Linked DNA regions of Macaca mulatta. The protein of the gene in region 7 purifies or fractionates together with the protein of the main gene of each other region. This does not show direct contact. Links are inferred from orthologs where the notes say so. Each region holds a gene or a part of one and is shown on either strand. Other genes may lie near its edges.

Evidence for each region.
Region 1: the proteins of CSNK2B (region 7) and GPATCH2L purify together in Homo sapiens (co-immunoprecipitation; 3 studies listed by BioGRID and IntAct, with this or other methods). This does not show direct contact. The link is inferred for Macaca mulatta from reciprocal best matches to the Homo sapiens genes CSNK2B and GPATCH2L.
Region 2: the proteins of CSNK2B (region 7) and NKAPD1 purify together in Homo sapiens (affinity purification with mass spectrometry; 3 studies listed by BioGRID and IntAct, counting the BioPlex papers as one, with this or other methods). This does not show direct contact. The link is inferred for Macaca mulatta from reciprocal best matches to the Homo sapiens genes CSNK2B and NKAPD1.
Region 3: the proteins of CSNK2B (region 7) and ZC3H4 purify together in Homo sapiens (affinity purification with mass spectrometry; 3 studies listed by BioGRID and IntAct, with this or other methods). This does not show direct contact. The link is inferred for Macaca mulatta from reciprocal best matches to the Homo sapiens genes CSNK2B and ZC3H4.
Region 4: the proteins of CSNK2B (region 7) and CEP170 purify together in Homo sapiens (affinity purification with mass spectrometry; 3 studies listed by BioGRID and IntAct, with this or other methods). This does not show direct contact. The link is inferred for Macaca mulatta from reciprocal best matches to the Homo sapiens genes CSNK2B and CEP170.
Region 5: the proteins of CSNK2B (region 7) and GPATCH2 purify together in Homo sapiens (co-immunoprecipitation; 3 studies listed by BioGRID and IntAct, with this or other methods). This does not show direct contact. The link is inferred for Macaca mulatta from reciprocal best matches to the Homo sapiens genes CSNK2B and GPATCH2.
Region 6: the proteins of CSNK2B (region 7) and DCAF7 purify together in Homo sapiens (affinity purification with mass spectrometry; 4 studies listed by BioGRID and IntAct, with this or other methods). This does not show direct contact. The link is inferred for Macaca mulatta from reciprocal best matches to the Homo sapiens genes CSNK2B and DCAF7.

The regions. Positions count from the first base shown.
Region 1 is NC_133412.1:149,363,083-149,367,638, reverse strand, and holds the start of GPATCH2L (G patch domain-containing protein 2-like), read right to left. Parts: upstream 3,012-4,556; 5' UTR 2,925-3,011; intron 542-2,924; 5' UTR 532-541; coding exon 1-531.
Region 2 is NC_133419.1:112,831,922-112,835,696, reverse strand, and holds part of NKAPD1 (uncharacterized protein NKAPD1), read right to left. Parts: intron 2,495-3,775; coding exon 2,394-2,494; intron 327-2,393; coding exon 177-326; intron 1-176.
Region 3 is NC_133424.1:59,592,906-59,597,337, forward strand, and holds the start of ZC3H4 (zinc finger CCCH domain-containing protein 4), read right to left. Parts: upstream 2,808-4,432; 5' UTR 2,494-2,807; coding exon 2,353-2,493; intron 1,740-2,352; exon of another isoform or gene 1,329-1,739; intron 1,205-1,328; coding exon 909-1,204; intron 877-908; exon of another isoform or gene 780-876; coding exon of another isoform or gene 766-779; intron 1-765. UniProt on the Homo sapiens protein: RNA-binding protein that suppresses transcription of long non-coding RNAs (lncRNAs). LncRNAs are defined as transcripts more than 200 nucleotides that are not translated into protein.
Region 4 is NC_133406.1:5,980,979-5,984,753, reverse strand, and holds part of CEP170 (centrosomal protein of 170 kDa), read right to left. Parts: intron 3,323-3,775; coding exon 1,490-3,322; intron 1-1,489.
Region 5 is NC_133406.1:75,343,666-75,347,440, forward strand, and holds part of GPATCH2 (G patch domain-containing protein 2), read right to left. Parts: intron 891-3,775; coding exon 708-890; intron 223-707; coding exon 143-222; intron 15-142; coding exon of another isoform or gene 1-14. UniProt on the Homo sapiens protein: Enhances the ATPase activity of DHX15 in vitro.
Region 6 is NC_133421.1:73,377,488-73,381,262, reverse strand, and holds part of DCAF7 (DDB1- and CUL4-associated factor 7), read right to left. Parts: intron 442-3,775; coding exon 269-441; 3' UTR 1-268. UniProt on the Homo sapiens protein: Involved in craniofacial development. Acts upstream of the EDN1 pathway and is required for formation of the upper jaw equivalent, the palatoquadrate. The activity required for EDN1 pathway function differs between the first and second arches.
Region 7 is NC_133409.1:150,652,710-150,657,223, forward strand, and holds the start of CSNK2B (casein kinase II subunit beta), read right to left. Parts: upstream 3,009-4,514; 5' UTR 2,962-3,008; intron 2,379-2,961; 5' UTR 2,368-2,378; coding exon 2,296-2,367; intron 1,348-2,295; coding exon 1,245-1,347; intron 682-1,244; coding exon 566-681; intron 124-565; coding exon 48-123; intron 1-47. UniProt on the Homo sapiens protein: Regulatory subunit of casein kinase II/CK2.

The DNA.
Region 1 (4,556 bases), on a different chromosome or scaffold from region 7:
CCAGGGAGTATTCTCCTTCCAGCGGGACAGACGCTGCTTCTTAGCAGATTTGAACCTGCAGCCTCTCTCATAGCTCCAATCTGACACCTTCAGTTTCTGCTGAAGGCTAGCAGCCACCTCTGATGTCACTCGCTTCACCTTCCGCCTGCGCCTGAGTGGTCGACAAGGTGCATTTTCAGTAAAGGAGTCAGATTCATGCCAAGAATGCTGCTTACTCTTAACAATGGCATTGAGAGCTGGGTGTCGTTTGGCCACCATTGTGTCATCAGAGTCACTAAAATTGGTCACGGGAGCCACTTCTCGACAGTCCTTAGTGGCCTCATCCAGACTTGACTCAGAGGCCTCGCTGTAGCAGCAGGTATGCTCTGCCAGGTGAGTGAAGTCAGAACGACGCTTCCGACCTCGGCGTTTCCGAAGCTGCCTCCTCTGCTGCCGGGGGCTCAGGGCCATCTCCTCCCACAGCTCACCAAGCTTATTCTGCTCAGATGTCTGCTCCAAGGCTGAGGCTAAGTCGTGTACCAGCTCATCCATGAGGCCACATCTGCCAAAAGGAAGTTTGGCGGGGGGTGGGGGGGGGGGAAAGAAAAGAAAAAGAAAAAGAAAGCCTGAAAAGGATCTGTTGTTTCGGAATAATTTGATGAAACAGATCATGGTAGTCCACAGTACTGCCTGTCTAAATGAAATAAGTCACCTTTCATCTGGCTACACTTAGATTCTGTTCCTACCACTTCCTAAAGCCACTAAAAATAGATGTTTTGTCCCTTGTTAAACGCCTGAAGTCAACATATTCTTAAGCACAAAAACCTACTCACCAGATGACAACTGGGACAGGACCCAAAACAAATTCGGGGGACTAGATCCTTCTCACTTTTCCCCAGTTAAACTTGTCACTGAATTACCTAATGATGAGATCCAGAAAGATTAGAGACTGTCTCACTAGACAGGAGTAGAAAAACATACAACTTCAAAATCACACTAGAGTTGCAGAAACACAGAGCAGGACACGGTCTCATCGAGGTATTGAGAATGAATGAAAAACTGTTCTTTGGCCTGGGGTCACTGCTGACAATGACCATGGCAGAAAGAAACAGAAAGACAACTTAGTGATACCCTTTAAGGAAGAATGCAGTTTTCATGATCCAAGAAATTGTAGTGGCCAGGTTTGAAGTCAGAATGGAGAAGAGACTAAGTTTGCACCCATTCTGGTACCAACTACCACCTGGAAGCTACCAGGTATAGAACCTTATACAGTAGGTCATATATTTTTGAATAATTAACAATTTTTAAGCCCCTCTCCTACTCTTCAGAAAATAAATGTCCGAATGTCCGTCCTAGTTATGTGCTTCAGTGCCACACAATCACACAAAAATAGGATACAACAGCAGCTGAAATGACAGGGATAGGGTGAAGTTTCTAAGATTTCTGGCTGAACTGCTTTCCAAAATTTCTTATTTTTCTGTTTATCCTCAAACCAAACATCACACTTCAGGAGTCACTTCAGAGGCAAACATTTCAACAAATGAGAGTAGTAGGAACAATCTTCAAAATTCCCTCTTAAGGGGAAATGTTTAATTTGTATAGCAGCTAATTAAATACACATTAAACTTTTAGCACTTTTCCCTTGCCTCTATGCCCAAAGTATTTCAATATCATGTTAAAATTCTATGTGGTGCCGCTCTCTCACCATATTCCCATTCATTCAGTTTTCACTTTGCAAAGGGTTTTCTAAAACCTGTTTTCACGCTGTGCCTATGCCAATGAATTTAAAGACAGGAAAACAGTCCTGGGGCTTATCTGCCACACCTGTAGGAGCAATGGTGACACCTACTTCCAAAACTACCATACAAACGAAGCTTCTCAAAGTGTCCAAAGGCACATACATTTAAACAAGACCAAGTTCTTTTAAGCATTAAGAAGTGATTTATTAACAGCTGTGAAAAGAAGGGGAAAAAATGGAAAAAAAAAAAAAAAGTGGATTAAAATGCCATGATTGAGGTTTGGGAGACAACTGTCCCTAAGACCAAAATAAAGAAACAAGTGGGAACAGCATGCCTAAATCTACTTCCCTAATAAAGAATTACTGCTTTAAAAACTCAGGCAACTAAAATACAAAAAAATAATAATAATAACAAATAAAAACCTCAGGCAGAATAGCACAAACTTGAACACGGAACGAAGTCACCAAACAACTGGTAGTCGAATGCTTGTGCAGAATCCTTTCCTGCCTCAAAGCCTGTAATTCGAACAGTGGGTGACAGAAGAACCCTAGGGCTCCCCCCATCTCCAGTCGCGGGTGCACACTCTCGAGAGGACCCGGCGTCCAGGCACGCACCCGGGTAGAGATGAGGCTGAGTCACGCACAGGAAGGAACGGGTAGGGCAGCTGGTGGACAGCAAGTAAGAAGAGAAACAGGAGCAGGGTGGAAGTGAGGGGCGGAGTAGGAGGTGGGAGAGGCAGGAGGCAACTTCTCATTTGGGCTCACCAGGGGCGGGGGTCGGCTCTTCTAGGGCAGAAACTGAAAAAATGCAAGTCGTGGCGACTGAGCTCCCTCCGGGATCGGGGGTCGCAACACGGCCACATATGTGAGAAAAACTGTGTTTCGAAGGACTCTCCACCTCGCCCCGGCCCGTCCCTGAGGGCTGGGGCGACCATGGCTCGGGACACCAAGCCCTCACGCTGCCGCCAGCCCCAGAGAGGCAGAAAGAAGAAAGAGGAAGAGGGGGCTGTGGCCCCGAAGACGGCCCGACCCACATCCCCAGGGATGGGGACAAGGGCCCTGAAAAGCAAGACCCCACCACCCTCACCCTCCGGCCAGCTGCCGCAGCCCCAAGACGCCCTTAGCCGCTCAGCCGCGGCTTGGCGCTCCGATCCCCTCTGGTACTAGCCCCCAGGACCCCAACACTAAAACCACTCCTCCCCCTCACCAGCTGCCGCAGCCACCTCCAACGGCCGCCGCTTTTTGGGCCGACTCTCACCGCCAGGGCTTCCCTCTCTGACCTCATTTCCGGTCTGGGCCGGAGGGGTGGGGCGGCGGCGAGTGGGAGGGGCTGGCTGCAAGATTGGGCCCCTGACCCATTGCTTCCGCCCGTGGCCACACCCACTTCCGCCCCGTGGTGGGCGGAGCCACAGGAAGCCAGAAGATGGGGCAGGGGACAAGGAGGGGTGCTGAGTAAGGTCTGGCCGGGAAAGGGCGTTTCACGGGTTGAGGTGCCCATGTGGGGAAAGACCCCTGCATGCTGGCCTCATCTTCCTTAGGGGCGTCCAGAAATTGGGCGCTAGGCAGGGGTGTCAGCTTCCCCCTTGCTTTCTGACCTTTTTAATGGGCCTATGAAGTTGAAGAGAAAAGGATCTTAATGACGTCTACCCTGTGAGCTGGTACAAACATTGGGAGGGGTGGTTCTTCACTGAGTTACTCAGAACATTACAAATTGCCTTGAGCAATAAAACAAGTGATATTGGATTATAACTCAAAGTATAAAAGAAATATTCATGAGCCCATACCGATATAAATAAGTGATTGAATAAATTAACGAATGAGGAAGAAGAGATAAATCCCCCACAGAAGAATCTCAAATAACTTATGTAGACAGCCATCCTGGAGCATCACTTCCACCTCCTTAAATGTGGGCTGTGCATAGTGACTTCCTTCCCAAAAGTACAACATCTGTAAAGGGGAAAATGAGTGATTTTACAGTGGGGAAACCTGGCAAACAGTAATTCAGCCAGGTGATCAAGACTATGTGCTAAATCATGTTGATAGTATGTGGACTGATATATGATGAGAATGGCACTTTATGCTACTTTCCTAACAAATCTCATAACCCAGTCTAATTATAAGAAACAAATCAGACAAACCCTAATTGAGGGACATTCTGCAGAGTACATGACCAGTATTCTTCAAAATTGTTAAGATCAGCAAAGGTAAGGGAAGTATAAGAAACTCAGAGCCAGGAGAAGCCTGAGGAGGCATGACAATGTAATACGGTATCCTGGGTGTGACACTGCAATTAAAAAAAGAACATTAGGTAAAAACTAAGGAAATCTGGATAAAGTATCAACTTTAGTTAATAATAACGTTATCGGGCCGGGCGAGGCGGCTCATGCCTGTAAACCCAGCACTTTGGGAGGCCAAGTCGGGCAGATCACCTGAGGTCGGGGGATTGAGACCATCTTGGCTAACATGATGAAAACCCGTCTCTGCTAAAAATGCAAAAATTACACGGGCATGGTGGTGCGTGCCTGTAATCCCAGCTACTCAGGAGACTGAGGCAGGAGAATCGCTTGAACTCTGGAGGCAGAAGTTGCAGTGAGCCGAGATCCCACTATTGCACTCCAGCCTGGGTCATGAGAGCAAAACTCCGTCTCAAAATAATAATAATAATGTATCAATTTTGGTTGCAATCGTGACGTGTGTTATACTTCTGTAAGAGTGAATAGCCGGGTGCGGTGGCTCACACCTGTAATCCCAGCACTTTGGGAGGTTGAGGTGGGCAGATCACCTGAGGTCAGGAGTTCGAGACCATCCTGGCCAACATGGTGAAACCCTGTCTCTACTA
Region 2 (3,775 bases), on a different chromosome or scaffold from region 7:
GTTTACCCATTCATCAGTTGACAGACATTTGGATTTACTTGGCCATTATTTTTTGGGGCCATTATTAATAATGCTGGTATGAACATTTGTACACAAGTTTTTTGTGGGGACAATTAATTTTGATAAGTACACATTCTCAGGCCAAATATTAATGCTCACAGGAATTAATCACAAACCTGTCTGGCATGTTAGCTTCATAATCATATAACTTCTTGTTCCAGGATTTTGCCTTAAGAAAATCATCTTCCAGTGTCCCAGAAATTTCATTCTTTGGCCTCCAATAGTCTCTTTGACTTTCTTCATCAAAACCATCACTGCGCATCCGGCTAAAAGAGAAAGCAGAAGAACTTTTAGATGTAAAAGCAATCTGTGAGTTTACTTTATGGAACATCATGCATAAAACTCATGGAACAAGCTGAGGGGGAAGGAAACAACATGATACTGTTTAAAAAAAAAAAAAAAGGTAAAGACATCTGTTCCTCTCTATACATCTGTAAAGTCCAATGGAAGAAATCTGACCAGGCCTAGTGTGGTGGCTCATGCCTCTAATCCCAGCACTTTATCTGTTCCTCTCTGTACATTTGTAAAGTCCAGTGGAAAAAAATCTGACCAGGCCAGGTGCAGTGGCTCACGTCTGTAATCCCAGCACGTTGGGAGGCCAGGGCAAGTGGATCACTTGAGGTCAGGAGTTCAAGACTAGCCTGGGCGACATGGTGAAACCCTGTCTCTACTAAAAATACAAAAAAAGTAGGTGTAGTGGCACACACCTATAGTACCAGCTACTTAGGAGGCTGAGGCAGGAAAATTGCCTGAACCTGGGGAGGCAGAGGTTGCAGTGAGCCCAGATCACGCCATTGCACTCCAGCCTGGGCAACAGAGTGAGACTCCGTCTCAGGAAAAAAAAAAAAATCTGACCATTAGTACACATCCTATTGCAAAGCATAGAGAGATGAAATCAACTCTGGACTGTCATGTGATAGTTCACTCGCTGATTCTCAACTAGGAAGGCATGCAAAGAGGGAAGCAGAACATAATCATAGCTAGGGACACTTCAAACTACCCTAGAGATTCTGAAATACACTTCCCTCTGTGCAAACCAGCAACTTACTATAGAGAGGTCCCAATAACAGTGGGAACAAGGTCTAACCCATGGGAATAGTTGAGTAGGAAAAAAGTTGAGAACCATTGATCCAGCTTCTGTTTACCACTTCTACTAACTAGCCAGTAAGCTGCTAATCAGTTATCAAAAATTCGTAAGGGGCCAGGCCCAGTGGCTCACACCTGTAATCCCAGCACTTTGGAAGGCCTAGGCGGGTGGATCACTTTGAGCTCAGGAGTTCGAGACCAGCCTGGCCAACATGGTGAAACCCTGCCTCTACTAAAAATACAAAAATTAGTCAGGCATGGTGGCAGGTGCCTGTAATCCCAGCTGATTGGGAGGCTGAGGCAGAATAATTGCCTGAACCCAGGAGGTGGAGGCTGTAGTGAGCCAAGACCACACCACTGCACTCCAGCCTGGGTAACAAGAGCGAAACTCCGTCTCAAGAAAAAAAAAATTGTAAGGGCCTCTTATGTACCAGGTATTGGTCTAGCGGGCAGGAATACAGCAGCAAATGAGAAAATCACAAGCCCTGCTCCTAAAGAGTTTAAGTATTTCTTATATATGTAGCTCTTACACTTACAAGCATATAAGGATGTTCCCAATTATTCAAGCATTCCTAGGCCTCTCCACAAGGAAAACACAACTAACCTTGCATAATCCTTCATATTTACACTCAAGCTATTAAGGTAATGTGAAAAGGCTGTTGATCTGGTGAAGAGGGTGAATACATAGGGTGAAGAAAAGTCTGAGGCTGGGCAAGTGGCTCACGCTTATAATCCGAACACTGGGAGGTTGAGGTGGGAGGACTGTGTGAGCCCAGGATTCTATACCAGCCCGGGGAACACAGCAAGACACTGCCTCTACAAAAAAAAAAAAAAAAAAAAATAGCTAGGCAGAGTGGCATGCACCTGCAGTCCCAGCTACAAAAAGAAAAGCCTGAAAGAATGAAAAATTAATAGAGAAAGGAATGATTGATCAGCTTAGTGACCACAAGATTCCAGTAGAAAATCTTAAGTTAAAAGCTATCAGGTAAGGTTAGAAACCACAGAACCCTACACATTCATAATTGTTCAGGGAGAATTTTTTAACTCTCCATTGTAAATAAGTACAGAGAGTGGGGGCATATGCATCATAGCCATTATCTTTATGCCTAGATTTACGAAAGAGGAAAGGCTTAAGGACTCACAGAACTAAATTCATCTATCCTTAATATACCAAAGTATTTTTAAACAAAAGTTGATGATTCTGAAAAAGATGAGAATTATTTTAGTTCTCAGAGCTGCAACTTCACCTTGAACTGCTGGGTAGCATTTTCCTTTTGGTCCCCCGGTAAGCATCTTCCATCTGTTTTTCCAGTTCTCTTATTTTCCACATATCTGATTCCTCCTGAATCTAGAATTTTTGAAAAGGAAAGAAATAAAAATAAGTTACTAAAAATAACTTTACATTACAGAAAAGTAACTAACTGGCCGGGCGCGGTGGCTCACACCTGTAATCCCAGCACTTTGGGAGGCCGAAGCAGGCAGATCATGAGGTCAGGAGTTCGACAGCAGCCTGACCAACATGGTGAAACCCCGTCTCTAATAAAAATACAAAAATTAGCCGGGCAAGGTAGCATGCACCTGTAATCCCAGCTACTCAGGAGGCTGAGGCAGCAGAATCCTTGAACTCAGGAGGCGAAGGCTGCGGTGAGCCGAGACCACACCATTGCACTCCAGCCTGGGTAACAAGAGCGAAACTCCGTCTCACTGTGCCACTGCACTCCAGCCTGGGCTACAGAGTGAGACTTGGTTTCAAAAAAAAAAAAAAAAGTAACTAACTGAAAATACAATCTGACTAATTATTGGGCTACAGACTGGGCTATGATCAGGAACCTGGAAAACAAATTGGTTTCTCTAGAAAGTGGCTGAACAGTCCAATCCAGTAAATCTCAAATATCTAGAATTATTCCCCAATAGAATTTTTAAACCCCTGCATAAACATCACCTTATCAATTTTGCAATTATGCTGCGATTAGCAAATGATAATGCCACATTTCCAAAATGCAATGTGATTTTAATTGTATCATCTCAATTGAACTTTAAGCAATCTCATGAGGAAAATAAAGCAGCTACCATTATTACATTTTACTGTAAAGAAACAAAAGCTCAGAGATTTTACCAAAGTCAAAAAACTAGTAAGGACAGGTCTTTAAACTCCCTAAGCTATAAATCTCTTCTCATAACATAATTTTTGTCAAAAATAAAATAAACAGTATGGCTGCTAGAGAATTTCTTGAAAAGCAGAATGTGATTACCCAAAGAACAAGAACACATTTTATTTCTAAGTCTTCCCGCATAATTTCATTAGATCTGTGCTAGATTTATCTTTTTCTAGTTGCCATTTTAAATCTAAGCTTACTATACAACTAGCGGCAGGTTAACATAATGGCACAGGCAGCTTGGGGTAACAGTTTTACCCTTGCCCATAATTTTAAAAATCAGGTGATATGATAGTAATAATATGATCAAACCAAAAGTAGTAGTTTACTGAAGAAAACTAAACCAGGTGCCTTGGCCCTCTTTTCATTATATGTGCTCTCCTAGGTGACCTCATTTACTCTCATGACCTCTTATCATCAACCTATACATCAATAATCCCGAAACCTTTATGTTCAGCCCCAACTTTTCTCCT
Region 3 (4,432 bases), on a different chromosome or scaffold from region 7:
GGGGCGCTTCCTTTAACGCCCTGCCAAAGCACAAGGAAATCTCCTTTTCTCTCTCCCGGAAGAGACGGTGCCCCATTTTACCCCGACAGAGGGGGGAACCCCACGAGAAAGCGCGGGACCAACTTCCTCTCCCTACAAGGCAGGGAAACCAAACCTTACCCCCACAAAACAAGGCTGCTAGTCTTCCCTCACGTCACCTACCTACGAAAAGCTAGAGAACCCCTGCCCTTTAACAAAAACACGGGTAAGAATCTTCTCTAAATAAATAGGCAGGGGTTTTCATCAAAAGGGCTGGAGATGCATCTCCCCCACTCCCCAATTCGGCCTTCTAGGGAATAGCTACAAAACACCTCCCGCCAAAAAATAAAAGTGCTATAAAGCACCCACCCAAATGACCCCCCATTACAAGGATGGAGAAGGGACTGCAATGAACCCCCACTTTCTGCCTCCTAAGCTAAGATACCTATCATCCAAGTAGGGTAGGGTGTGCCTCCCCCAGGAGAAAGGATACTGCCGGGGGCTGGGAGACCCCCAACCCCAAACCCCTAAGAGCGGGGCTGTTGCTCGAGATCCCCCCAAAAAGGGTCCGGAGCCCCTCCCCCATCCCCTTCCCCGAAGCCAGGCGACGAGCAGGCGGGCCCGTGGCTGCCAGCTCCGGGCGTAGGGGCAGCCAAGGACCCCCGTGGGCCTCCGCAGCACCCCCCCCGGCGCCCCCTCCCCAGGGCGGGCGGGCGGGCGCGGGGGGTCCGAGGGGCGCCTCCTCACCTTCCCCTCAGCATGGCGCCCAAAAAAGACAGAGCGAGAGCGAGGGAGAGCGGGCGAACGCCGCGAGGGGGGGGAAACGCATGAGGCCAGGAGAGAAAGCAAGCGAGAAAGAGCGAGCGAGCAAGCGATCGAGAGACACCCACCGACCCCGCCCTTCCTCCTCCTCCTCCTCCTCCTCCTCCGCGGCCCGGCCCAACATGGCGGCCGCCCCCCTTCCTCCTCCTCCTCTTCCTCCCCCCGGGGACGCAGCCCCGGCCCGGCCGGGGGCCTGACCTGTCGTCAGGGAGCGGGAGGCGGTGGTGGAGGAGGTGCGGGGTGGCCGGGCGGGCGTCGGGGGAACACGGAGGAGGCGAAGGCGTTGATGGCGGCGGCGGCGATGGCGACGGCGGCGACTCTGATGGCGGCGGCGGGGGGGTCCCGGGCGCGGCCTCCATAGTTCCTTTGGGGGGGAGGGGATGTTAATGCACGAAAAAGGACTGCTTGGGCGTGGCGGGAGGGGCACACTTAAGCTCGGAGGGCTCCTGATGGGAATGGGGTATATATTTTTTCGGTTTCGGAATCACCTCTGCGCTGACCTCCGCGTAGGCCGCGCGGCCTAGGCCTCGGAGGGCCGCTCGCCGCCTGCTTTCTCCGCAGCCCACCCCTGCGGTCACTCGCTTACTGGCGCGGGGCCCTCATAGGGGCGAGAGCCCCCCCCCCACGCACCCCCGCGGGCCCGGGGGCGGGAGACCCGGGAGACTCGGACACTGGTGGGTGGTTGGGTGTAATTAGCGCGGGCCGCGCGCGATGGAGCAAGCGAAGGGTAAGGGGAGAAGAGGAGAGCCAGCGAAGGGGGTGGAAGGGTTAAAAAGAAAAAAAGGATTGAAGGGAGAGAGGGAACGGGCCGCGGAGACGGGCCGACTGTCTCCCTTGTCTGCCCGCCACTGGTCTCCCGGCTGCCCGGCCCCCGCCGCAATCAGGAATTGACACAAAATGGCGGCTCGGCCCGGACCAGCCTAGAGGCTGAGGCGGGAGGAAGGGTGAGGTGGGAGGGGGAACTGAGAGGCGGAGGCGGAGGCCGCGTCACGTGCGGGAGAGGGGTAGAGACCGCTTGCCTGAGGGCCGGCGGAAAGAACCGAAGGCAAAGGGTGAGTCCGAGGGGAGGCGGAAATAGCCGAAAAGAGCTGAGCAGGAGACAGGAGGCGACGGGGGAGAGCCGAAAAGAGCCGAAGCTGGTGATGGGGTGGGGCTAGAGAGAGCATGAGAAACCTAGGGGAGCCAGAAATAGCCTAAGCCGATTGGGACCGGGGAAGGAGGAGAAATTGAGATGGTCCGGAAAGAGCCGAAGGCGGTGTCTGGGTGGGTGGCAGGAGGTGGAAACAGCCGAAAGAAAAGCAGCCAGGGTAATGCGATTAAGAGAATGAGCTGAACGGGCGGGGCTGGAGCGGCGATTAATTAAGAGAATAAACGACTTTCAGGAATTCGCCCGAGAGCAAGAGGGAAGAACCGAAAATTGCTAGTTTGAAGGAAGGCGGGAAGAGCCGATAGTTTTAGGTGGGAGGATGGGAGGGAAGGAATTCAAGCTACGGAGAGAAAAAAAAAAATAACCGAAAGCTGGAGGCCAGGTGCCGAGAGTCGGAGGTTTCCGGAGAAGCGATGAAGCCCAGCCAGCCCGGAGGTGACGTCACTCGACAACTCAGTCGATGACGTCATCCTTGCAGGAGAGAGGGGCGGGGCTTGGTAGTCCATCAGGGGAGTTTAAGGACCTGGGGTGTAGGAGGACCCAGAGAAGGCTCACAAATAGCGGAGATAGAAACACTGGCCGGTGTCATAGGCTGTGTACAAACAAAATCTTTTGACTCTCATAACCGTCCTAAAATAAGCTGCTGCAATTCCCATTTGCAGACTGAAGTTAGGTGTTTTAAGTAATTGGTTCAACGTCATAGGATTAGTGCTAAAGAGCACAGCAAGACTTTTTTGTTGTTGTTGTTGTTTTTAAGACACAGTCTCGCTTTGTCGCCCAGACTGGAGTGTAGTGGCGCGATCTCGGCTCACTGCAAGCTCCGCCTCTGGGTTCACGCCATTCTCCTGCCTCAGCCTCCCGAGAAGTTGGGACTACAGGCGCCCGCCACCACGCTCGGCTAATTTTGTGTGTGTGTGTGTGTGTGTGTTTTAGTAGAGACGGGGTTTCACCGTGTTAGCCAGGGTGGTTCTCGATTTCTTGACCTCATGACCTTCCCTCCTCGGCCTCCCAAAGTGCTGGGATTACAGGCGAAAGCCACCGCACCCGGCCTTTTTTTTTTTTTTTTTTTTTAAGAGACAGAGTCTTGCTCTGTCGCCCAGACTGCAGTGCTGTGACACGATCATACGTCCCTCTAACCTCGAATCCAGGGATCTTCCTTAAATACTTTTGTTAGCTCTTTCTACAGTGCCAGTCCCTGTGATGGACTATGGGAACAGTTTCTGTCTTCATGGAACTTAACCGACAATGCCCCGAGAGAGAAACAGAGTTAAAGAATAAAGGGGGTGGGTGGAGTGTTAGAGGAGAGTCTTGAAATTGCTCTTTAGGCTGGTATATGAAAAAGAAGAGCTGGTTCCAAGCAGAAGAAATACCTTATTTCAGGCGGGGCGATGTTGCTCACGCCTGTACTCCTAGCATTTTGGGAGGCCGAGGCGGGCGGATCGCTCGCTTGAGCTCGGGAGTTGGAGACTAGCCTGACCAACATAGTAAAATCCCTTCTCTCCTAAAAATACAAAAATTAGCAGTACATGATGGCTCACACCTGTAGTCCCAGCTACTTGGGATGTTGAAAAGGGAGAATCGCCTGAGCCGGGGAGGTCGTGAGGCTGCAGTGAGCTGAGATTATACCACTGCACTCCAGCCCGGACGACAGAGTGAGACTCTCGTTTCAAAAAACAAAAAAAAGAAAAGAATACCTTATTTCAGGCCCTGACAAAGCAAAGACCACTTAGATTCCAGGAAGAGAGAAAAACCTCGTCAAGATTGATAAAGCTGGAGACAGAGGCACCATGTGACTTCCTGGTATATTGATCCTACTATTTTTTAAATGTTCCAGCTGGCAGCAGGGCGTGGTGGCACATACCCATAATCCCAACACTTTGGGAGGCCGAGGCTGGCAGATCACTTGAGGTCAGGAGTTTGAGACAGCCTGGCCAATGGGACGAAACCCATACAAAAAATTAGCCAGGCATGGTGTGGCGCGCCTGTAATCCCAGCTACTCGGGAGACTGAGGCAGGAGAATTGCTTGAACCTAGGGGGTAAAGGCTGCAGTGAGCCAAGATGGCACCACTGCACTCCAACCTGGGTGACAGAGCGACACTCCATATCAATAAAAAAATAAATAAATAGAGCCAGGCATGGTGGCTCACGCCTGTAATCCCAGCACTTTGGGAGGCCAAGGTGGGTGCATCACCTGGGGTTGGGAGTTCAAGACCAGCCTGACCAAACCCCGTTTCTACTAAAAAATACAAAATTAGCCCGGCGTGGTGGTGGACGCCTGTAATCCCAGCTAAATGGGAGGCTGAGGCAGGAGAATCGCTTGAACCTGGGAGGCAGAGGTTGCGGTGAGCAGAGATCTCACCATTGCACTCCAGCCTGGGCAACAAAGAGCGAAACTCCATCTCAAAAAAAATAATAGGCCGGGCACGGTGGCTTATCCTGTAATC
Region 4 (3,775 bases), on a different chromosome or scaffold from region 7:
TAGCAGAAGAAATTTCTTCAGGAAATGCAGCAGAGATGAAATGTGAATTGAAGAAGTAGAGCCATAAGCAACAACAGAATGAAAAAAAAAACCAAAATAGTTAGTTTTAAAATATTTGGCAATAAATTTATGAACCACCAACCAAAGCTTCAAGTGTGGAAATGAGGACTGGGGTAATAAGGAAAATGTTGTCTAATTTTTTTTTGGAATCATGATTATATGTTATCCAGCTTCAGCCTACATCCATTTCTACCATAGACAGTGACCATCATTAGCAAACCCACTGACCAGCAGAGAGAGAGAGGTGAATGGAGTGGAGGAAAGCAGCAGTGAAAAGAGGAAGAAAAGTGAAAACAGTATCATATGCAAAGTACCGTTCCTTTAGGGTCTTGTAGGATATAGTGTGGTAGATGTAAACCAATCAAAAATAAAAAGATGAAATTTCCTATCAACTTCCCCTCCACTTTTAACTCAAGACTTAGGGCTCACTGAGATGTCTGCCTACTGAAAATCATCACGCATCTGCAAGCCTGTTATAACAGCTGGCCTCCCACACTGGCCTTTGCAGCCACGCCCACATAGGAGGCTCATTATGAAGTAATGAGAACAGGCTTACAGGATACAAACAAATATCCACCTCATGACTCTTTGGTCACACATGTCTCTCAATGGCTTCAGCTCTGAACACAAAGTATGTAAGCAAACAAATATAACAACATCAGTTAAATTCTGGTGGAGAGTAAGTAGTTTTTGTAGTTATTATATTCAATTACACCTAATTACTAGAGTTAAACAATGTAACAGCACTTTTTGAGATAATGCTCATAACCAGTTAAATTTCTACAGCCCAGTTTGGCCAATATATGCTGAGTGATTCCCCATGAATCCATCTTCTTCCACTGAAATAAATTAAGGGTTAGTTTTCACCTGCTCCAACTATAAACAGATTTAACTTTAAAAAGTATAGGTAAAGTATGTGAGACATTTCAAAATAGGTAGGGAAAAAAAAGAACAAAACATTGATTATTTAACTCTGAAAGAAGTAATAAAGCATACGCTGCTTTTCTTCAAGTTCTTAAGGGCTTTGAAATACGTGAGGATATTTAAAGGTTAAACACGCTTTTAGAAGCACAATGTTAATTCCTATACTTTAAACCAGATAATGCCAGATAATCTAATTTTGACACACACACATCCAAATATATCACCAACTGGAGAATTAAAACTCCTAAATCAGTTCAATGAATTCCTAATTTTGAAATCACTATTTTGCCCCAGGACTTTAATTGGAAGTATATATAACTTCTGACTTTTCCATTTACTATGCTACATAAAACTATTTCATGGAACCTCCCCCGCCACCTCATATATCATAACTTTTGTTTTGAACGAGTATCTTGGGAAGACAACTAGACACTTTTTTTTTTTTAAAAAGGAACCCCAAAATATACAACATGCTAATGCTATTAGAAATCTGGATCCAATTTACCTGAAGCAGAGCCATGAGCTGAGGTCATACTTTTGACCTTGGAGTCTGAGAGTCGAGAGATACTGTTAGCTCTAATTCTAGGAGAAAATTTATCTGATGGTACTAATCTGGCTCCACTTCTAATGATGGCTTCTGCGGTCCTCGAAGAGGCACTACTTCTAGAAATTGTTGCTTCAGAGTCACTACGAGCTGACAGTGAGCCAAGTCGTGTTCTACGAGGCTGAGCCAATAAATCAATCCGAGAGATGTTACGCCTTCCTGTGGGAGGTTTTGATGTAGAACTTGTTGTGGATACTTCAGAAGCAACAGATGCTTTGTCAGCATCGGCAAGTTCACTGTCTGAAGCTTCACCAAGTCGTGCTCTGCGCAAGAGGGAAGTCCTGGTAGGTCGTGGCCTTGGAAGGGTGGTCGATTTACTGGATGAACCAGATACTACCGGAGAAGTCTTAGATTTCGTTACTTTACTTCCTTCCAGTTTGGAATGTACATGCTCATCAGCTGAGGTAAGTGGAGTCCGTCCATGAGGTTTACAGGAGTAAGTTTCTTGATCAGATGACATAATATCAGAGATGGCAGAATGAGGTACACTAGAGGTTTGATCATCATCGGTTAGGTCTACCGAAGGCTGTCTTATTCTCCCACTGGATTGAACAAATTTACGACCATCTGCTCTTGAACCCACATCTGTGGAACGACTTTTTGTTTTCTTTTCCATTTTTTCCCTAGTACCTGAAGATGACGATTTTGTAACATCTTTGGAAGGAGAACCTGTGGAACACCTATCTTTATAGAGGCTAGTGAAACTCTTTCGCTTTTGGGTTGATTTTCTTTCAGTTTCTCCAGTAACCAGACTGATTGTACTAGCTGTATCTACATCAGATTCTGGTGAAATAGAATTGTCTCTATTATAACTGGGAGTGTCTGGTCCTTCATCAGTTTTATTATCTTCACGTAGTTTAGCTTCTAGAAAAGCCATGACTGCTTCTGTGTCTTTTAGAATAAGGGTTGTGTCCATACTAGAATCAGGATCTAAAGACTCACTTCTTTCTCGTATTCTACTTGCAGATGTTAATGCTAAAGAAGAAGGAGTAGAGGAAGTCTGTTTATTTATATGAGGAATAAGTTCTATGGGTATGTTTGGGCTGGGTTTTTCTATAGTGAAGCTCCCTTGTCGCACTAATGACTTGGAGGATTCCTTCTTGTCTCCTCCCTTTGGAGTCTGACTTTTCAGAATTTCCTCAGCTTTTCTTCTTTTGCTCTCACTTTGTGCCACTCTGTCTCCTTTGCCTGTAGAATGTCCTGAATTTTTTTCTGGAGGTTGTGATTCTTGTTTAAAAGGTTCCTCCCTACATTTATCTGTCTGACCTGAAACATTTTTGGAAGACAATTTAGTAGGTGTCCACTGAGCCTCCTCCCTTTGTTCTTGTTGTTGAAGTTTTGCTAATGTTTGCTTTACCAAAGAAGTTTCCTTATCAGGTTCATTTTTCTCCTTTCCAGGAGCAGAGCTGCCTAAGTGAAGTAGGGTTTTATTATCTCCACCAGTTTTGAGAGTCTCTCCATTTACTGCCCTGTTCATTTTACTCAAGGGTCTGTCGGCATCTTGTTTATCTTTCTGGTATACCTGTGTAGGTGCTTCTTTCTCCTGAAGTTCTGTGTCTTGTTTTTCTCCTATCTCTGACCTCTGTGTTATAACCTTTGCTCTGTGGCTCTCAAGAGACTTTTCTTCATTTGGAAGCTGGGGAAGAGTTCGTCTCCTTCTCTCTCCCTGGCTAGCCAAGGAAGTTGCAGAGCCAGTACTTCTCACTGTCATGCCAGACTCACTGATCTCTGTCTCTATAAAATAAAAACCACAAAGAAGGAATTGGCTAAGACAAAAAAATAAAAATAAAAGGAGCACCCTACAGTTGTCTGTCAGTATCCACAAAGACTGGTTCCAGACCCCTTCTTCCCCCAGGATACCAAATTCCAAGGATGCTTAAGTACCTTATATAAAGTGATGTAGTATTTGTATATAACCTACTCACACCCTCCCATATACTTTAAATCATGTCTAGATTATTTATAATACCTATTACAATGTAAAAGCTATGTAAATAGTTGTTAATACTGTATTGCTTAGTGAATAAGTACAAAAAATAAAGTCTATACATGTTCGGTGGGGACGCGATCATTTCTTTTTCCCTCTCAAATATTTTCAGTCCTCAGGTGAATTCACAGATGCAAAACTCACTAATACAAAACCTATGGATGCAGAGGGCCAGCTATATTACATTACATTTTGAGATG
Region 5 (3,775 bases), on a different chromosome or scaffold from region 7:
GTCCAGTTTGTAGCCTACAAAAAAATGGATTATTTTTAAGTTTAACATTAGAATATGAATAAAGGATGAGGATGTGGCTTTTTATTCCATAGAAATGGAAACATTTCCAAACATGACAATTACACAAAAAAAGTATGCCTACCATTGAAGTTGGAGTCCCTCCAGATTTTTTAATATTCTTTGAAGACATTCCATGAAGGCGACTGAGTCTAGCTTGGAAACCTGGAAAATCAAAGTACTCAATTTAGAAGTTTTCTATGATCGCTGAAGCATAGAAGAAGAAGATCCTATCAATAGAGAATGAAAAGTAAGTTGGTGGTGGCGGTGAATGCCATGAATATTATTTGGGAAAATGCAAAACTCACACTTAAAGAAACTGGAGCAATACCTAGCAAAGTACTAATGCAGTCAGCCCTTAACTAACCAGTGTTTAATCACTAGAGTAATAAATACCCATTTTCTTTTCTCCCAATTCATGTTCCTATCATTTCAACATTTTCTCAATAAGTCTAGCAAGAAAGCAAGTCAATTTTTCAAATAATTTGAAAGCATGATAAATGTAGTAGCTATATTAGTGGCCAATATACTTCTTTACAGCATCTTGTCTTTATATTCTCTAATTTCCACTTTATCTTATCCTCTTTGAATGAATATTCCTAGATTGACCTTAAACCCATTATATCCACCAGGGAGCCAATGCTACTGACCTCTTCTGCTTGAGTGTGACATAAGGGGAAAAGAACCAGTTAAGATACTTTCAAAGACAGGATCTGGTAAATTTTTGTCTAGCTCAGTAGGATCTTCCTTTTCCCACCAGGGCACGACTCCAGTGATACCACATGCTCCACCTGATTCCTTTTCGTAGAACCAGTCACTCTGTTCATCATCACCTGTATAAATACAAGAAACCCCCCCCAACCAAAGATTCAGTTTTATCATCCAGTTACACAATTAGTCTTACGTAATAAAAATACAAGATGGCAGTTAAATTTGAATTTAAGATCAATGACTAACTTTTAATATAAGTATACAATACTTGCATTAAATTTTTAGTGGAAATATGTCTAAGTACTGCATGGGACATACTTGTACTAAAAAATTACATGTTATTTACCTACAATTTAAATTTAATTGGGGATCCTATGTTTTATTTGATAACTGCATATATAATCTATAAGGAAAACTTTTTATTTTATACCACAGCTTTACCTAAGAAATATTATCTTAAGACTGTAAGAAACTGTCAGCAATAAAAACACAAAATTTTATGTTTTCGAACCAATTTTAAAATGTGAAAAACAATAATAAGCTGGTTAATCCTTTGGCAAAACCTATTAGAAAATCCATTTAAGTTACTACCCCTTCCACATTAAGAAAAAACAAACCTTAATCTGCTCCCGGGAATTAAAAAGTGTTAAAACTGTAGAACCCTTGCTTTGCAGCAGATATGGGTATATAATTAGCTTAATTTCATGATTTGTATGGAGTATAAAAGGGGAAACAATCATGAACAGATGTGACTAAATGAAATTAATCCCATTAAGCTCATTAAGAAATAGTTTTGAAAAAGTTGATTTTGAATGAAAAGTGACAATACCTTAGAGTTTATGAAGAAAGTATATTAAATAAGTGAGATGTTTTTGCCCAACACTATCCAATAATTCTGACTTTTGGGAACATCCATGAGTGTAACCATGGAACAATAAATGATCAATTGAAAATTCAGTTTGAAATGTGCCATAGGGGAGAATCAGTATTTTGTTTTTTGAAGAAAAAGTAGTTATGAAGAGACAAAAATACAGAAGACAGATGGCTTTTAAAAGAAAGAGAGACAGGCCAGGTATGGTGGCTCGTGTGTATAATCCCAGTGCTTTGAGAGGCCAAAGTGGGAGGATCATTTGAGGTCAGGAGTTCCAGACCAACCTGGGCAAGATAGCGAGACCCTATTTTAAAACGATTAAAAATTAGCCGGGCATGGTGACATGCACCTGTACTCCTAGCTACTCGGGAGTCTGAGGCAGGAGGATCCCTTGAGCCCAGCAGTTTGAGGTTATAGTGAGCTACGATCGTACCACCAGCACTCCAGCCTGGATGACAGGGCGAGACCTTGTGTTAAAAAAAAAAGAGAAAAAAGAAAAGAAAAACAGAAAGAAACAAATAGCATTTTGAAGATGATCTGAGATTCATTAAAGTCTCCTTCCCTTGATTATGAGAAGCCACCACTAATTCTGGTTTCTAAGAGGGTCATCATGATTGTCATAAACTGTTTCCCTTTAGAGAGAGATATTTCTGATTTCTAAAATCTCTTTCAACAAACGTCTTTAAAGGAAAACTAAAAATACTCTTAAGTTTCAGTTGAAAATTATTTTATGAGAAATAGCTATATTTCAACTAAGATGGAATCAAAAATTAAAGGCATTTCAAAAACTAGAGTCACCAGCTTGTTTCTATTGGGGAATTAATAAAAAAATTTTTTTCAAAAAACACAATTAACAGCACTTAGATATCAGGACTTTTACTGAGCTTTATATTAAACTTACACAGATCAGGTTTAAGCATAAGAAAAAACAGGGCCTCACTTGAAACTGACTACTACATATCTGAATTCCAACACTATTACAGAAAAATAAAGTTATTTTATTTTTGATGTAATACACAACTTTATTCTTCAATAGGGAAATCAAATAGTCATTGGTTAAGAACTTGCTCTGAAGTCAGACAGACTAATTAGAATTCTAGTGTTCTGCAACACCAGGGAAGTTACTTCTACTCTATTAGAGTCAGTTTCTTCATTTTAAAAAACTGGGAATCTCAAAGGGATTTTAAGAATTAATTAAGAACTTAAATGCAAGAAAAACACTTAGCAATGTGAAACATAGTAAGTTCACAGTAAATGCTGGCATATCATTGTAAGCCCTTCCACCCTTATCAAAGATTGATAGGCTTGTCAAAGTTATTTTTATATTTTTTTCATTTTATTTCATTACCAATATCATGTTTACAATACAATCCTGAGGAAAGATCTGTATTTTAATGAGAATTTAAGTATATTATCAAAGTAGTTACCCTCGCATTTAGCCCCAGCATTCTAACATATTTCAGCAAAGTATCAACTTCCAAGTCCACGGCCTTTCAAATAGTTATGTACCTATTCATCTAAGACAAATAGCTTACAAGTAGGCAGAAAAGAATGATCACTTCATTTACGTTTTTTTGTACTGCCAAAAGGATGAACAGACTAAGAAAAAAAGTGTAGGCGGCTACTACTTTGTCCTTTTCTTATAACATCATTAAATAAATTTATAATTTAAAATTTATGTTAGTGTTTTTCACTTGGAACTTACTGTCTTCCTCTAATGTATTCTTAAGAAAGGAAGAGAACGTTTGTGATAGGTATTTGTCTGTATTAATTTCATGATTTGTGTGGAGTGTAAAAAGGGAAACAATCATGAACAGGTGTGACTAAATGAAATTAATCCTATTAAGGATTAATCCTGCCCCTTATTAGGGTGTTTTAAATTTTTCATAGCTTCAAAATACTGCCATGTTAATGACTGAAGCTTCCCGAAGTTTCAAAGATGGAAAACATATAAGTTGCAAGACATTTCTGTTTAATGGTTTACAATATTGAATTCATAAAAATCATCTAATTACTTACAAACTGGATAGAATGAATTAATGTCACAGTTGAATAAAAATGACAAATGACTTGGAAATCCACCTTTATGAATGCTTAAACAGTTTTAAGTACATTTGGAATTAGGTAGAGAATAAG
Region 6 (3,775 bases), on a different chromosome or scaffold from region 7:
TTTTAATTGAGGAACCAAAGAAGAAGAGGAAAGGAGAGAAAATCTTAAAACTCAGCCCTGGGCTGAGGAGGCGCCACACAGCACTGAGTCTGCCACAGAGGGCGATGGGGTGACTGGCCAGGAACTCCTAGAGCAGCTTCTGGTAACAGTGGGTGCAAAGCAATGAAAGACATACTGGCCACTGGAAACATGTTTCTTCTTACTTTGGGGGTGGGGCAGAGGCAGGAAACACAAAAGCCCCTGCCTCGTGGGCACAGCGCCACCAACACTACACTCTGAGTATCTCCAGGCAGTTGTTGTAGCAGATGGCGATCCAGTCGGGCTGAGTTGATGCCCACTGCACATTGTTGATCTCTCCTTCAGCTGTGTAGGCCAGGATAGGGTCCTCGATGGCTCGGGGCATTTGCTGGATGTCCCAGATGAGAGCCTGGTGGTCATCCGCTAGGGACAAAGAAAGCCAGCAAGCAGGGTCACAAGTGAGGCAATGGGGATGATGATCCCTGCATTTCAGGAGCAATTCACAGTTTACAAAGCACGCATCCCCGTGACGGCGGTTCTATGTTAAGCCCCCATTTTATCGATGAGGAAACTGAGATTCAGAAATGTTAAGGCGCTATTCAGCCAAGTGAGTGGCAGAGCCAGAACTCAAATCTAGGCCCTGACTCCATCTCCCAGATGTCCCCAGGCTCTATCCACTGCACGAATGAGTCCTTCTCATCTGGGTCAGGTATCAGGAGTGGACAAGGGGATACCAAACATGTCATTTGTAGCCACTTAAAATACTTGAGTGGTTATAAAGATCCTTCCTGATCATTCAATATAATGAGAGCGTTTCTTCCCTGTTTGATGGGCATTTATGCTTCAGTGAGTTGTTATATAGAAGAAGACTGACAAAGTAGTGTTGGTATGTGCTGTTAAAAAATTCTTTCCTGGCCAGGCATGGTGGCTCACACCTGTAATCCCAGCACTTTGGAAGGCCGAGGCAGGCGGATCACTTGAGATCAGGAGTTCAAGACCAGCCTGGCCAACATGGTGAAACCCTATCTTTATTAAAAAAAAAAAAAAAAAAAATTACAAATTAGCCAGATGTGGTGGTGCACACCTGTAATCCCAGCTACTCGGGTGGCTGAGGCAGGAGAATCGCTTGAACTCAGGAGGCAGAGGTTGCAGTGAGCCAAGATGGTGCCATTGCACTCCAGCCTGGGCAACAGAGTGAGACTTCATCTCAAAAAAAAAAAAAAAAAAAAAATCCAAGAAAATAGCTATGGGAAACACCAGAAAGATGGTAATCACCTTAAATATATAAAAGCACATGAAAAATGACTAGAAGGAAATATATTAAAATGAGAATGATGGCAATACTAAGATGACAAGGTTAGGAGTTACGTTTACTTTTCTCTAGTTCCTAAGTGATCCGTAATGTGCTTATATAACTTTTTTTTTTTTTTAAATGGAGTCTTGTTCTGTCACCCAGGCTTGAGCATAATGGTGCGATCTCAGCTCACTGTAACCAACGCCTCCCAGGTTCAAGCGATTCTCCTGCCTCGGCCTCCCAAAATGCTGGGATTACAGGCATGAACCACTGCACCCGGCCTATATTACTTTTATAATCAAAATAGTAAGTTAATTTTAAAAAAAGAAAAAAAAAGGCAATGGCCTTCAGAGCTGCAGTGTACCCTGACTCTGCCATACATTCTGATGAAAGCTGGTCTCACATACACAGAAAATCTGAATAAACTAAACCCTAATAGGTCAATTGTGGGCAATACCAGTCTCCTGCCAAGGCCGCATAATCTGGGCCAGGTGCAAGATCCCTCTCCCAGAGATAATCAATGCCAAGAGGTCAGGGAATTGCACCTCTAAAGCACTAAGCCCCTTTTCCTCAATGCTCAACTGAGCACACTTGAGCAACAGTTCCTTCGGTTGAAGGGGCTCAAGGCAGGTGCAACACACAAAACAGCGAGCCGGACAAAGGGAGAAGCCAGGAGCAGAAAATGGGGCTTCTATGGGGCCAGTCCTACTTTCCATGAATAATGGATGACACCTTTCTTTTCTGCTTCTTCTATCCCTCCCTATCCACACCGCTGGAAAAAAAAAAAAAAAAAAAAAAAAAAGGCAATAATGAAGAAGACAAACCACAATCTGAGGTACAGAAGGCAGCAGCAGGCCCCCAACTGCTCTTCAAGGAGATATACAGGCATGAGCAGAGGGCCAAAATCAGGAAAAGCTTCATGCTTTCCAAATAATGCTCAAATGGCAGAAAAACACCACAGTACATTGCTTCTTGGACTCCATAACGAATCTTGTCCATTATAAGGCTACTGATCAGTGAGGAGAAGAAAAAAAAACACACTAAAAAAGTTAAGCAGTAAACCACCACAGGGCTAGGACAGAATCCTCTCAGTGCAAAAGGAAGAGGTATATAGTTGTATTTGAGGGCGTGGATGTACACCCCCAAATGTATACCAAAAGGGTCTGGAAGGAGATACATTACCTGTTGACAGAGGTCATCTATGCAGAGTGGGATGGAGGCAGAAATGATATAGCAAGGAGAAAAGATGACCTTCACCTTGCTCTAAATATGCCTCTGTACTGTTTTCATTTTTAATATCAGATTCGCAGTATTTCTACAATAAAAGTGCATTGACAAACAGCATATTTTTCTTTTCTTTTTTTTCTGAGATGGAGTCTCACTCTGTCACCAGGATAGAGGGTAATGGCACGATCTCAGCTCACTGCAACCTCCACCTCCTGGGTTCAAGCGATTCTCCTGCCTCAGCCTCCCAAGTAGCCGGGACTACAGGCGCACACCACCATGCCCGGCTAATTTTTGTATTTTTAGTAGAGATGGGGCTTCACCACGTTGGTCAGGATGGTCTTGATCTCCTGACCTCATGATCCACCTGCCTCGGCCTCCCAAAGTGCTGGTATTACAGGCATGAGCCACTGCACCCGGCCTTTCTTTTCTTTTTTTAAAATTTATTTTAGAGGCAGAGTCTTCCTTGGTTGCCCAGGTTGGAGTGCAGTGGCACAATCATAGCTCACTGTAACCTCAAACTCCTGGGCTCAAGGGATCCTCTCACCTCAGCCTCTAAGTAGCTAGGACTATAGCAATTCACCACTACACCCAGATAGTTTTTTTAACTTTTTGTAGAGATGAGGTTTCACTATACTGTCCAGGCTGGTCTCGAACTCTTGGTCTCAAGGAATCCTCCCACCTTAGCCTCCCAAAGTGCTGCAATTACAGGCCTGAGACACTGTGCCTGGCCCAACATATTTTTAAGGGGTACTCTTTTTTTTCTTTTTTCTGGAGGCAGAGTCTCGCTCTGTTGCCCCAGCTGGAAGGCAGTAGCATAATCTCTGGTCACTGCAACCTCCACCTCCTGGGTTCAAGTGATTCTCCTGCCTCAGTACCAAGTAGCTTGAACTACAGCTGTGTGTCACTATGCCTAATTTTTTTTGTATTTTTAGTAGAGACAGGGTTTCACCACGTTTGTCAGGCTGGTCACGAACTCCCGACCTCAGGTGATCCACCTGCCTCAGCCTCCCAAAGTGCTCGGATTACAGGCGTGAGCCACTGCGCCTGGCCAGTAAGGGATGCTTGCTCTGGTCTGGGAAACAGTGAAATGAAAACCACAAGTCACACACCACAACCAGGCAAAATTCTGTGAGGCCCTCCGATGTGTCTAGAGCTCACTGTCGGTTTGTTAAAGTGAAACCTGAAAGGTCCCATGGAGATGTTGATCTTCGCAGTCCCAAAGATTCTGTGACATCC
Region 7 (4,514 bases):
CGTAAGACTGCCACAAGGTGCCTTCCTTTCCCTTCTTCAACACTCACCGATGGGAAGCATTGGCTGGTTCTCACAGTACACACGAGGACAGTAACCAAAGTCTCCCTGCTGGTACTTTTCCAACTGAGGTGAATAAAATGGAAGGGGTTGGCAGGTAGGTGTGAAGAGAAGAGGCAACTCCCTTCTCAGCTCAACCCATATCACTCTGTCCCCCACTCCTCCCACCTCTGTCCAGAGGCCCCTTCTCTGGCCCAGATGGGCTCTCAAACTCCTATGTTGCCTTTCTTCCAGTTAGGCAGGCTACAAACCATCAGAGCCATTTGTTGTTTGTTCCCTGAGGAAGAGGCAGTCTATCACAACTCTCTGTTCAAGGACTGTCTCCCTCCCTGAAAATTATCCCTTCAGGATGACCCCCAATCAGAATTCAATTCCCAGGCCCAAGCCTGGGGTTCTTCTCCTCTTCTCAGCCAGTTTCCTTAAACAAGGCTTAAACATGACTTCTTGCTGCAGGAACCTGTGTCCCTTACTGCTCAGAAGGAGGCAATTAGGAGCAGAGAGGCCTCACCATCTGGGCAATGCCACGGTTGGTAAGGATGTAGCGGGCGTGGATCAATCCATAAAGCATCTCGGCAGCCTGCTCAATCAGGTCACTCTGGTTGGGGTTGTCTTCCAGTTCTTCATCTGAAACACAGCCCGGCCAAATGCAACCACTTGTTTTTCAGCTTTCCTAGGTGCCCTGCCCATATCCAGGGGGTGCGGACTATTCAGTTCGCCTGGCACCTACTTTTGGGCCTTACCCCATCCAACATCTGGGCATGTGACCCAGAAACCTGGGCTTCTGACCCTTGCGCCAACCCAAGACAGCTCTGTCTTCTCTTCACACCTCTTTAGCCTCCGCTCCCCACTCTCCCTCCCAGCTCCCTCCCCAATACATAACTGCAACAATGTCAATGCAAAAGATGAAACTCTAGACTGGAAGGTGCAAAGCAGGAGAAATAGCAAACCAGACCCATGAGGAAACATATTTTGGAAAACATCTGAATTGTGGATTTAGAAAACATGGGAACAAGTGATATACGTCACAAAACTAGACACAGTCAGGTGGAGGATCAAAATAAAGCATGAATTTGGGGTTAAAGAAATCAGAGAACCAAAGGAAATTTCAAAATTCAAGTAAGTGAATATAGATTTGAAGAGAAAAAAAGTGCATGCACACACACAAAACAACCCTGAGGGTGCCTCACCAGGCTCCAGGTCCAAGATCATGTCTAGAGCTTGTCGATAGTGAGGAACCTGCTCATTGAGTCCAGTAAGATTAAATTTGTCCTGAATGTAGTCTTCATCCACCTGTGGGGACATGGAAGCCAAGAGGGAACCCATATCAAAATCCCCATCTTTGACCTGGGCAAAATGCTCTAACTGATGCCTTATCATCAACACAACTGCATCTGTTCCGCTTGTTTCTCACTCCCAACTCAGCAGAAGTACTTGCGTCTCTCCCTAGTTCACCTATACTCCCTCCCATAAAGCTTTGGCTTTTCTTTTCTAAGGATAAGCAGGTACAGCAATCTTTTTCTTAGACATTCTTTTCAAGATCTCTGTCCCTACTCCTGTACTCCATCTCTAGGAACCAGTTTTGTCCTCTCAGCTGGCTGAGGAGGATGGAAGCTGAACGGCATGGTTTCTGAACAAAACATTTCAATACGTAGCATTTCAATTTTCCTAACAGCCAGCTGAGACATGTACTAGCAGTACAACTTTAGTAATAAAAGATACAGGCTGGGCGCAATGGCTTATGCCTGTAATCCCAGCACTTTGGGAGGCTGAGGCGGGCAGATCACCTGAGGTCTGGAGTTTGAGACCAGCCTGGCCAACATGGTGAAACCCTGTCTCTACTAAAAATCCAAAAATTAGCCGGGTGTGGTGGCGGGTACTTGTAATCCCAGCTACTTGGGTGGCTGGAGCAGGAGAATCGCTTGAACCTGGGAGGCAGAGGTCGCAGTGAGCCGAGATCGCACCACTACACTCCAGCCTGGGCGACACAGTGAGACCCAGTCTCAAAAAAAAGATAAAGAAAAAGACACAAATTGCCTGCTGGAGGGTGGCAGAGTCAAAACTTGGGCCCCAGTTTTGCCACTTTAGCACAGGTTCGTCGGGGGTTATTGAGGGGACTCTTCGTTGATGGGAAGTTTTCAAGTAGTATGTAAGAGAACAGTGTAGAAGTGGAATACGTGAAGGAACATCTGGTGGGAAGATATGTGAAGCCAGCAAGTAGGGAGGTCGAAGAGAACTCACTTCACAGAAGAATTCATTGCCACGGAGCCCACAGAACCAGGAAATCCAGGACACCTCCTCTGAGCTGCTCATCTTCACGTCAGCTGAAAAAAAGAGTGTCAGTAAAGCTCAAGTTCTCCTTCCCTGCCTCGGGTATCCTCCCTCCTCCCACATTAGAACCACCCTTTCTTAAAGGATCCCAAACTCTGAAGCACTCCTCTCCAACTCCTCCAATTTACATCTCAGTTCCCTTTTCTTTGACGTTAAACATTCTTTGGGGTCCCACCACTTGAAAGAAGCCAACAGATACTTTGACCCACCAGCCCGACCCACGTCCCTGGAGCTCCCGAAAGCCAGGGCCCTCTCTTCTCTGTGTCAACTCCGGCAGGGACCTCGACTCAGGCTCCGTACCAATGCAAGTCTCTGCACGACCCCGGCGCCTTTCCCAAGGATTTCAAAGTTTATCACTCTCAAGCAAGAATCGGGCCCCTCCTTTTCTCAAGGGTTGGGGGCGACTGTCAGGTCCCTTTCACCGGATTCCACACATCCCCCCTCCGCTCCTCAAGCCACCTCTCCCTCCTTGCCGGACCTGGTTGCTTCCTCCCCCCGCCCCCATATCAAAGTGCGGAGACCCATGTGCGGCTCCCAGCGACAAGCGACTAGGAGCAGCGAAGACCTCAGACTCACCAGCTGGACGGGGACCAGGACTGGGGTGGGGTAGGGAAGTTGCTACTTCGAAGGAACGGCGGCGACCGCTACAGCGCAGGCCGCGGACCCGACCGCGGCAGGCGAAGTGGGGTGGGGGGAGTGGAAATTGGGGAGGGTGGGGAAGAGGGCAACACGCAAGCGCCAAGGGTCAGGTGCCGCGGTGGATGCCGGGACGCGGAGTCCCCGGTAGAGAGAGAAACCGGCTAAGTGAGGGAAAGCGAACTACCAATCCCAGGATGACCCGCGCACGACCTGGCTGTCACGAATCCCCGGAGGAGGACGCTTGCGGGCGGGGCGCAACGAGAAGCCACCGGAAGCGGAAACCAGGTATGGCGTTCGGGGCCTGGGAGCCTGGGCAATACAGTTGTGTGCTCACTGGGCGAAGAAGCTGACTTAGGGCGGGGAAAGGAGGGAGCCAGGCTGGACCCCTCCTCGCAGCTCTCCTCACAGTTGCCCTCTAGTCCCGGCGCGGTGCTGCTTCCCTGGGGACTGGCCTATCCTTGGCCAATGCGCTGGGTCCTTATTGCCTGTTGGGCCCCTAGTGCGAGTCAGTCCCGCCAGAGACCCTTGACGGGCCTTCTGTTTTACTCCGGGCTCCGGCCTCATGAGGCGAGAGGTGCGGCTTGGCTCCGTGCGTAGGGACTTGGGTTGGGAGGGCTGGGCTGGGCTGGGCTGTGTGAGAACCAGAACGGCCCAGTGCGCTAACCTGAGGTGGTGCCAGCCATTCTGCTCGTCCCCTTGCACTTCTCCATTTCCCCTTAGTCTCTAAGTGTGACCTTCGAACCCTGGTCAGAGTAATGGTGAGGGGCAGGCGTGACGTTATTTCATTACACGGCTTCTCGGCATTCCACAGGTTTCCCTCCGCCTCCTGAGGGCCTTTCCTAACCCAGAGAGTGGATTCCTAGCTCCAGAAAATGGGCTTGGAGCGGGGGCCACGTAGAGGAAGGCGAAGGGCATTGTGGGGGCGTTATGTAAAAGTAGGACCCCAACCGACAGATCCTAGCGCTCGCGCCACCTGGGCGCGCGGAGCTTTGCTCGTTTACTATTGGAAAAGTTCCAGCGCGGGAAACTGAACCGGGAGCTTTGCGCACGCCTGAGCCATCAAGTAATGTGGGTGGTGGTTTTTGTTGTTGTTGTCGCCACGCATGCGTCTCCGTGCCGTGTGGCTATTTGATTGTGTCAACTCTGCTGATCAGAATAGCGCCATTTTGCGGTACGGAAGCTACACGGCAACACGTATAGGAGCCTCTCCCCGAGATCTTCTAGGGAGTGACCCGTCTATTTTTGTTTGGGAAGAGGAAACTCCGAAATGGGATCACGGAAGACTTAAAGGGCCAGGTTTGATTTTTTTTTTTCCTACTGGTATGTCTGTTTTACGGGGTGAGAAAGTGATTTCAGAAAGAGGCTGGTATTTATTGTTGGTAAGGATGGGGGTGGGGGCCGGACGCAGGACCTCTGGACGACTGTCTCATGGAGTTTGATTAATTTTTACTAAGGAGCAAAGTCGGTATTGTAGGGTTTCGTGTTTTTAC